2 linked regions of the Bombyx mori genome follow. The protein of the gene in region 2 purifies or fractionates together with the protein of the main gene of each other region. This does not show direct contact. Links are inferred from orthologs where the notes say so. Each region holds a gene or a part of one and is shown on either strand. Other genes may lie near its edges.

The links.
Region 1: the proteins of protein LTV1 homolog (region 2) and pre-rRNA-processing protein TSR1 homolog purify together in Homo sapiens (co-immunoprecipitation; 4 studies listed by BioGRID and IntAct, counting the BioPlex papers as one, with this or other methods). This does not show direct contact. The link is inferred for Bombyx mori from reciprocal best matches to the Homo sapiens genes LTV1 and TSR1.

What each region holds. Positions count from the first base shown.
Region 1 is NC_085128.1:3,653,724-3,657,940, reverse strand, and holds the start of pre-rRNA-processing protein TSR1 homolog, read left to right. Parts: upstream 1-1,313; 5' UTR 1,314-1,347; intron 1,348-1,643; 5' UTR 1,644-1,782; coding exon 1,783-1,879; intron 1,880-1,947; coding exon 1,948-2,218; intron 2,219-2,303; coding exon 2,304-3,042; intron 3,043-3,291; coding exon 3,292-3,801; intron 3,802-3,911; coding exon 3,912-4,178; intron 4,179-4,217. UniProt on the Homo sapiens protein: Required during maturation of the 40S ribosomal subunit in the nucleolus.
Region 2 is NC_085126.1:10,531,206-10,535,561, forward strand, and holds the start of protein LTV1 homolog, read right to left. Parts: upstream 2,939-4,356; 5' UTR 2,738-2,938; coding exon 2,735-2,737; intron 2,533-2,734; coding exon 2,374-2,532; intron 1,427-2,373; coding exon 1,307-1,426; intron 803-1,306; coding exon 634-802; intron 1-633. UniProt on the Homo sapiens protein: Essential for ribosome biogenesis.

The DNA of each region.
Region 1 (4,217 bases), on a different chromosome or scaffold from region 2:
CAAATTCCATTTTTCATCAAATTCCGTCCATCCCTTTCCATTAAAACACAATGTTTTAATGGTACTTTGATACTTATTATACTTTTAATTACTTTGAATAAATTAAAACAGCCTTTTTACAGTGAAATTTAATTTCATGGATTAAATATTTTATATTCTGCAGTCCTTGTTCGTATGTAAGTAATTCTGACCTGTAGGACAAACTCAATAAAGGGGGAGAACAAAATAAATGGTTTATGCATATGAAAGCTCTCTAGAAAACTCAGCAAGATTTCAACAACAAGATTCATCACTAACAAATCCATTCTTTTTTTATTGCTTAGATGGGTGGACGACTTTACCTGATATTAAATGGTTACTGGAGCCCATAGACATCTACAACGTAAATGCGCCACCCACCTTGAGATATAAGTTCTAAGATCTCAGTATAGTTACAACGGCTGCCCCACCCTTCAAACCGAAACGCATTACTGCTTTACGGCAGAAATAGGAAGGGCGGTGGTACCTACCTGTGAGGACTCACAAGAGGTCCACCAGTAAGTACCACCAGTAATTACGCAAATTATAATTTTGCGGGTTTGATTTTTATACACGATGTTATTTCTTCACCGTGGAAGTCAATCGTGAACAATTGTTAAGTACGTATTTCATCAGAAAAATTGGTACCCGCCTGCGGGATTCTAACATCGATGCATCACTAGATCCGAATGCACCGGACGTCTTATCCTTTAGGGCACGACGACCTCAAAATTCGACATCTTCTGAAACTGCCGTTTTTGAACCAGAAATAGTTTATAGTTCCAGAAATCACGCTATAAAACAGGATCGTGTACAAATGAATAGACAATAACAATAGTTAAATAAAAAAAATATATATGTTTTTTAAACTGGCGGAAAGCCACGTTCAGCAATTTTGTTTCATTTCCCTGCTTAAGAGACTTTTGCTAAAATTATATGATTACCTAATAACTTGTAACCATTAAAAACTGTATAAAGAGGAAGAAATTCTAAACTGAGAAAATGAAATCGCTTAAATAATAAGCGTCCTAAAATTAAGTCAAAAGGTCCCTAATTAAACTGAAATGCACCGCTGCCTAAAACTGTTTTAAATTAATTTAAATATGTAATTCCTTTTCCAGTCATTTTTTTTAAATTTCATGGAAAAGACATGGCTTTAACCTTTATTACAAAATTAATTATTAATTAAATTATTTTTCTTTTGCCTTGTCAATGAACGAAAAGGAAAAAAAACGGATGTAAGACTGGTTTTGTATTATCTATGACTGGTATATTATCTATGACCAGATTGGGACTTTTTGGCGGGAACGCGAGGAGTGAAGTTGTGTGGTTTGTTTTATTTTGTCAATTTAATGTTTCTTCAGGTTTACATGTGTTATACACATAATAACGGTGGTTTAATAACTGTTTAATATCTGTGAAAGTGTATAAAGTTGCTGGACGTAACTTCTTGGTATCCTCCAAAAAGTTCACTGAAAAAATCTCAGTAAATGATTACATTACACTGAGATTATATTTCATCCCATATCATCTCATCTCATTTCATTTCATTTCATGTCAGTCGATTAATGTCTCAAATTAATCATCTTGATTTCACGCCATTTTATCATTTTTCTTAAAAATAGGAGACGTGACTTAAAGGTATTAGTTACCAAGTCATAAAGTACCTTATCAAAAAGATTGTCAACATGTGCTTTTTTTATTAGTAAATAAATTCAAATTGAAATCAGCTAGCTTGCATTTAAGTTTTGAAAAACAGTCAAAATGCAACAACCACATCGTCCCGGCCATTTCAAGCAGAGCAATAAAACTCATAAATCACGCCATCGCTCAAAACGAGGTATCGCCGCTGCTGTAAAAGGTTAGGATGTTTTCACTAAACCTATAAAATCGCTATTATAACTTTATTTACCTAAAGCTGTGTTTCAGGAAAAGTCAACTTGAAAGAAATTGTTCGACGTAATCGTCGTGAGCTTAGAAAAGACGATCGCCGTCATCAGGCTTCACAAATTCGCAAAAATAAAAGGGAAGAGGTTCTAGCTACGAAACGTGCTTTAGGAGGCACTAGGAATCCGCCGTTTCTAGTTTGTGTCGTTCCGCTTAATGCGCAACTCGATGTAGGATCGGCACTCGCCATTCTGAAGACCTGTTCTGATGGGGCTGTCGTAAACGAGTCTGAAAACGGAATTGTACACATCGGGTATGTTTATGTTTGTACTATGAACATAAAGCTAGACCTCAAAATTGACAGTAATTTTGCTGAAAATAATTATTTATCATTCTAGGTTGCCAAATTTCAAACAGCGGTTTTCGTTTATTTGTCCTGAAGTAGGTGACGACTTTGCACTTCTTGATGTTTTAAAAATAGCTGACACTGCCCTCTATGTAAGCTCAGCTTTAGAGGAACCAGTTGATGAATGGGGAGAAAAAGTTTTAGCACTCTCTATGGCCCAAGGAATGCCTACCCCTGTAGTAGTAGCAATGGATATAGAGGGAGTCCACCCAAAGAAACGCACTACAGAAAAACAGAATGTTCAGAAATTGGTCTCAAAATGGCTTCCAGAAGAAAAGGTAATGCAATTAGATAAAAAATCAGATGGTTTGAACTTGTTAAGGAAAATAGGAAATCAGAAACGTAACATAATACATCATAGAGAGAAAAGACCTTATATGCTGGCTGAGGAAGTTGAATATGTACCCGATTTAGAAGGTAACAGTGGTACTTTAAGAGTATCAGGGTATTTACGAGGAATGGCACTTAATGTCAATGGACTTGTTCATATTACTGGACTTGGTGACTTTCAAATGACTAGAATAGAGGGTTTTGAGGACCCCCACCCATTTCATTTGGGGAAAGAAAATACTAATGATGATGGTATGTATGCTGAAGTCACAAAAATGTCAGTTCTCGCAGTAGCTGATCCTGCGAAGCAAGAGAGTCTTCAATCAGAGAATGTGCCAGACCCTATGGATGCAGAGCAGACCTGGCCAACTGAAGAAGAAATTGAACAAGCTAATTTAGAGGTAATGTAAAAATAATTGTAAAAATATTGTCAAGTATATTTTGCTGGAGAGTAGTACATCTTGATTCAAAACATAAAGCATTGATTTTTTTTTTTTATTGCCTTTGTAGGCAGACGGGCATACGGCCCACCTGATGGTGAGTGGTTACCGTCGCCCATGGACTTCAGCAATGCCAGGGGCAGAGCCAAGCCGCTGCCTACCGCATGTAATGCAAATAAATAATTACAAAATTGTCTAAACTGTTTACAGACACAAAAGAAAAAAATCAAGAAAGTACCCAAAGGTTGGTCTGATTACCAAGCTGCTTGGATTGTCGAATCTGATGCCGAGGAAGATGGTGATGAGTCTGATAGTGGAGATGAGAAAGAAAACGATGAGTTTATGTCTTGTGAAGATGATAATTCTGATCCAGAGGACGATAAACAGTTCAATGATATTGAATCTGTTACCGAATCAGAGGTTGGACCCACAGATGAGAAGTATGATGCCACAATAGACACTCAGGAAGAACATGAGATGTTGCAGAAGTTAGCAGCTGCAAAAGAAGATCAGCAATTCCCTGATGAAGTTGATACCCCGCAAGATATCCCAGCTAGAGAGCGTTTTATGAGATACAGAGGACTAGAGTCTTTCAGGACATCAGCATGGGATGTAAAGGAAAATTTGCCTCAGGATTATTCTAGAATATTTCAGTTTGAAAACTATGAGCGCACCAGGAAGAGGGTTTTTAAGGAACTCGAAGACAGTTTAGTTAATATGGTAAGTAGAGTATAGAAAACTTTTTTTTTTTCAATATTCATGTTGTGTTCGTTAACAGTTTAATTTATGTATGGTATTGATTTAATACAAAACCAAACATTTTATTACAGTATGGCTTTTATATAAGAATACATGTAAAAGGTGTTCATCAAGATTTATGGAAAGCCTTTAGTACAGCAAATCCGAATGCTCCGTTGGCTGTTTTCGGACTTTTACCACACGAACACAAAATGTCTCTGATGAATGTAGTATTAAAACGCACTGGTGCCTGCAATGAACCTATCAAGAGCAAGGAAAGACTTATATTCCAAGTTGGTTATAGAAGGTTCATTGTGAATCCTATATTCAGTCAGCACACCAATGGCAGTAAGCATAAGGTGAGCTTTATTAAAATGTAATGTACAATGATATATCTG
Region 2 (4,356 bases):
TATACATACTAGATGATGACCGAGCTTTACTCGGTAATTTTGTTTATAACGCCATCTTGTTGTGTCTTTAAAGCAGTTAGTTTCTCTCAATTAAGAAAAATAGTATTATTATTCACCAATAGATGTCGGGTAGAGTCATAAAGTTGATTATTGATAAAGCTGATTATTGAAAACACGAAAAAAACAACATTTTCTGAAAATAAATCGTAGCTAGATCGATTTACTGCCCCTGAAATCCCCTGTATACTAAATTTTATGAAAATCGTTGGAGCCGTTTCCAAGATTCAGATTATATCTATACTAATATTATAAAGAGGAAAGATTTGTTTGTTTGTTTGTTTCGAATAGGCTCCGAAACTACTGGACCGATTTGAAAAATTATTTTTCCATTAGAAGCCGACATTGTCCCTGATGAACATAGGCTACTTTTTTTTAAAAAAAAAATATTTAATTTTTTTGGTTTCATGTGTGTTTTAATGTTTCCGAAGCGAAGCGAGGGCGGGTCGCTAGTATAGATATACAAGAATTGCTCGTTTAAAGGTATAAGATAAAATTGTCGACAAAAGAACGAAGAGACCGTTCAACTGATCCTTCGACCGTTCAGTAATCGAATCAATTAAACAAAAAACTGACCCTGTGGAGCAGCTTTATTGAGTAAACCAACATCCTCTTCAAATTCAGAAGCGAACACCGAACTGGGCAGCATCAGACGTTCTGTGACTGGAATGGACGGCTCTTCATCTTCATCGATGATTTCATCAGTTTTTGTTGATTCCGTTGGCTTCTTCTTATGTGGAGTTTTCTGTATTGTAAAAATTATTGTTAGTGCAAACATGCGAAACATATAACAGTGCACCGTACGAAGAGGTCATTGGATACCCGATACGGACTGACTTTATGTATTACACACTAAACAATTATTTTCTTAATTTTTCTCTACTTAATGTTGTGTACAGAAGATAAGAATGCGTGTTGAGTGTTGTTAATCAACAGAGTTACATTGATACAAGCCAATCCCGACTTGCTACTAGACAGTTGAAACTACATTCTGAATATTTGGGAGAACCATGCAATCAGTAAGTAAATCAAATAAAAATATAGTTCTTAATAATGAATAATCTTGTATGATATTCGTTTTTTTTTTAAGTTATCATGAACTAAAGAATAAATCTTTTGGTGTATATATATGGAGTGATGCGACTCAGTGGTCAAATCCTGCAAGTCGTTAACAGTTTTTCTATTGAAAAAAGTTCTTCATACAAGTTCAACAACCATAACTACGTAGAAAGAATTAAAAAAAACTCACAGGCTGCAACACAAGTGTAACCTCTTTTGTGTCTTTGAGATGCTGCAAATAATTGTAGTCATCGTCGTAATATATACCGTATTTCCTTTGTTCCTCTTTGCGTTGTTCAGGTGTGTATTCCTAAAATAAAATAAAAATCATTTAAAAGAGTTCTTCAATATATCTAAGCAACGGGCATTGAAGGGCATTGTCCTTTTTCATATACCACTTGACCACACATGATTATCACTGCCATAATACTTTGATTCAGGAAGTGAATTTAATAGCTTATGGGTTTAATTTAAATCAAAAATTTAAGTTATACGACTCATTTACTACGCCCATGTGGATGAAACTGAGAGTGGAAATAGGTAGTTTTCCAATTACAGAGCATAATGCGACTCAGTGACGCACAATGCCGAATTATGCTGAAGCTTAATTGGAACGTGAATTAGTTTTCAAATGCATCAGCAGAGTGCGCTAAGTTAGCACAGTTTTAATTAACATTGATTATTTCTAAGAAACTACGACGAAACGAAAGCCTTACAATTTTTTTCAACATTAAATAATATTACTAACGATAATATAAACAAAATTTCGATCAATGCCAACTTAAAGAAAAAAACACTTGTCCTTTTTCTGTCACTGAGTCGGTATCGATTGCGAGTATCACGCGAGAGCAGTACTTTTGAGAGTGCTCGATTGTGCGAAGCATTGCTGTAGTGGGAACATTCAATGTTGAGCATTATGCCGCATAATGCTCTCTTGTGCTGTAATAGGAAAACTACCATAGCCACACTTCTTGTAAACAGAAACCCATTCTTAACAATATAGGTATGAACTTTGACAAAATACAAACTATAATACAAATCTCTAGCTTCTGCATAGTACTTCTTGCGAAAATAATATTATCTTTACACAAGTCAGTAAGGTGTTAGAAAACTTCCATTCTCAGTGATGGGAGAATTAAGTAAGCTACCTTTTTCAAAAATGGCGAGGATTGGAAAGTAAGGATAGGAAGTAAGGATACATGGCTTCTATTGTAGTGTGTAACAGATAGCTTGTAGTTGGAGAGTATTTTTACTTACTGTATCTTTATCCTTTGTAGGTGGGATGATTGTGTTTACGGGCACTAATACTCGCTGCGGGGCTGTTTCGTCGGCGGCCAGAGGATCTCTTTGAGATCTGTGTACTAGGTTAAACGTCACCGCTTTCTTTTTATCTATGAATTTCTTTTTTGTTTTAGGCTGGAACAAGGTAAGGTTTTACATTTATTTCTATTTTGTCTCTAAGACTCGCTATTTGAAAAGTTGTTATAAAATATAAAAGTGAATCTCCAAAGATCGTTTTTCTAGTTTTGAAAAGGTTAATTTGAATACTCAGATTTTGAGGTAAAAACTCTAGTCGTATTTCATATTTATCTTTTTTTTGTTAGTGTATTATAATTACCATTTTTGTATTGCACAGTTATATGTAATGTTTAAGCAATAATATCATGTGTATAATCCACTGAACGAAAACAAGAACATGTGTTATTTTTTTTATTTTTTTTAAAGGTATTTTATGACCTGGTAACAAAGACCTTTAAGTCGTATCTCATTTTAATTTATATTTTATTTTTAAGCAAAATGATAATATGGAGTGAAATTAAATTAAATGAAAGAAAATGTTTAATTTGAGACATTAATCAACTGGGATGAAATTAAATGAAATGATATGATATTAGTAAAATGGTGGTCATTTACTAAGATTTTTTCAGAGGACTTTTTGGAGGATCCCGATAAGTTATGTCCAGCGGCTTTGTTTCATTTTGCCACATTTTGTCTATTTAGTGTTTCTTCAGGTTTAAATGTGTAATAACGGTGGTTTATTAACTGTTTAATATCTGTGAAAGTGCACAAATGTGGGAAAATGAAACAAAGCCACTAGACATAACTTATCGGGATCCTCCAAAAAGCCCACTGAAAAAAATCTCAATAAATAACCACCACTTTACTGAGATTATGTTTCATCCCATATCATCTCATTTCATTTAATTTCATAACAGTTGATTAATATCTCAAATTAATCATCTTCATTTCATTTCATTACACTCCATATTATCATTTTTCATAAAAATAAGAAAATAAATTAAAATAAGACATGACTTAAAGGTCTTAGTTACCAAGTTATAAAATCCCTAAAAAAAACATACGAGACTTTTGGCGGGAACGCGAGGAGTGTAGTTGTGTGATTTTGTTTTTTTTTGTCTAATTAGTGTTTCTTCAGCTTTAAATGTGTAATAACGGTGGTTTATTAACTATTTAGTATCTGTGAAAGTGCACCAATGTGGGAAAATGAAACAAAGTTGCTGAAAGTTACTTCTCGGGATTTTCCAAAAAGTCCATTGGAAACTTTCAGTAAATGACCAACATTTTATTGAGATTATATTTCATTCCATATAATATCATCTCATTTCATTTCATTTAATTTCATCCCAGTTTATTAGTGTCTCAAGTTAATAATTTTCTTTCATTAAATTTCATTTCACTCCATATTATAATTTTTCATAAAAATAAGAAAATAAATTAAATTAAAAGACATGACTTAAAAGTCTTAGTTGCCAGGTCATAAAATTTATCAAAAATTTTTATTTCATACTATATTATCACTTCACTTTCACAGATATTAAATAGTTAATAAACCACCGTTATTACACATTTAAACGTGAAGAAACACTAAATAGACAAAATAAAACAAATCGCATAACTTCACTCCTCGCGTTCCCGCCAAAAAGTCATATTTATTTGTGTAGACCGTGTTTAACAGATGCAATTAAGTGAAAAATTAAGAAATTTTACGGAATGTCATCACATTGCAAAAAAACCTTCGACTTTAGAAATAGATTAAGCAAGACAGTGACAGCATATTTGTTATCTGTGTTAACATAGTGACAGTCACAGATCTATAAATAATACACCTAAGGACCCTAAGGTCCAAGCCAGCTGATAAAACAGTGACTTTTTAATATTAGTTTATAACATTAATTTCGTCATAAAAATACCATATGCCTACAATTAAACGTCCTCAAC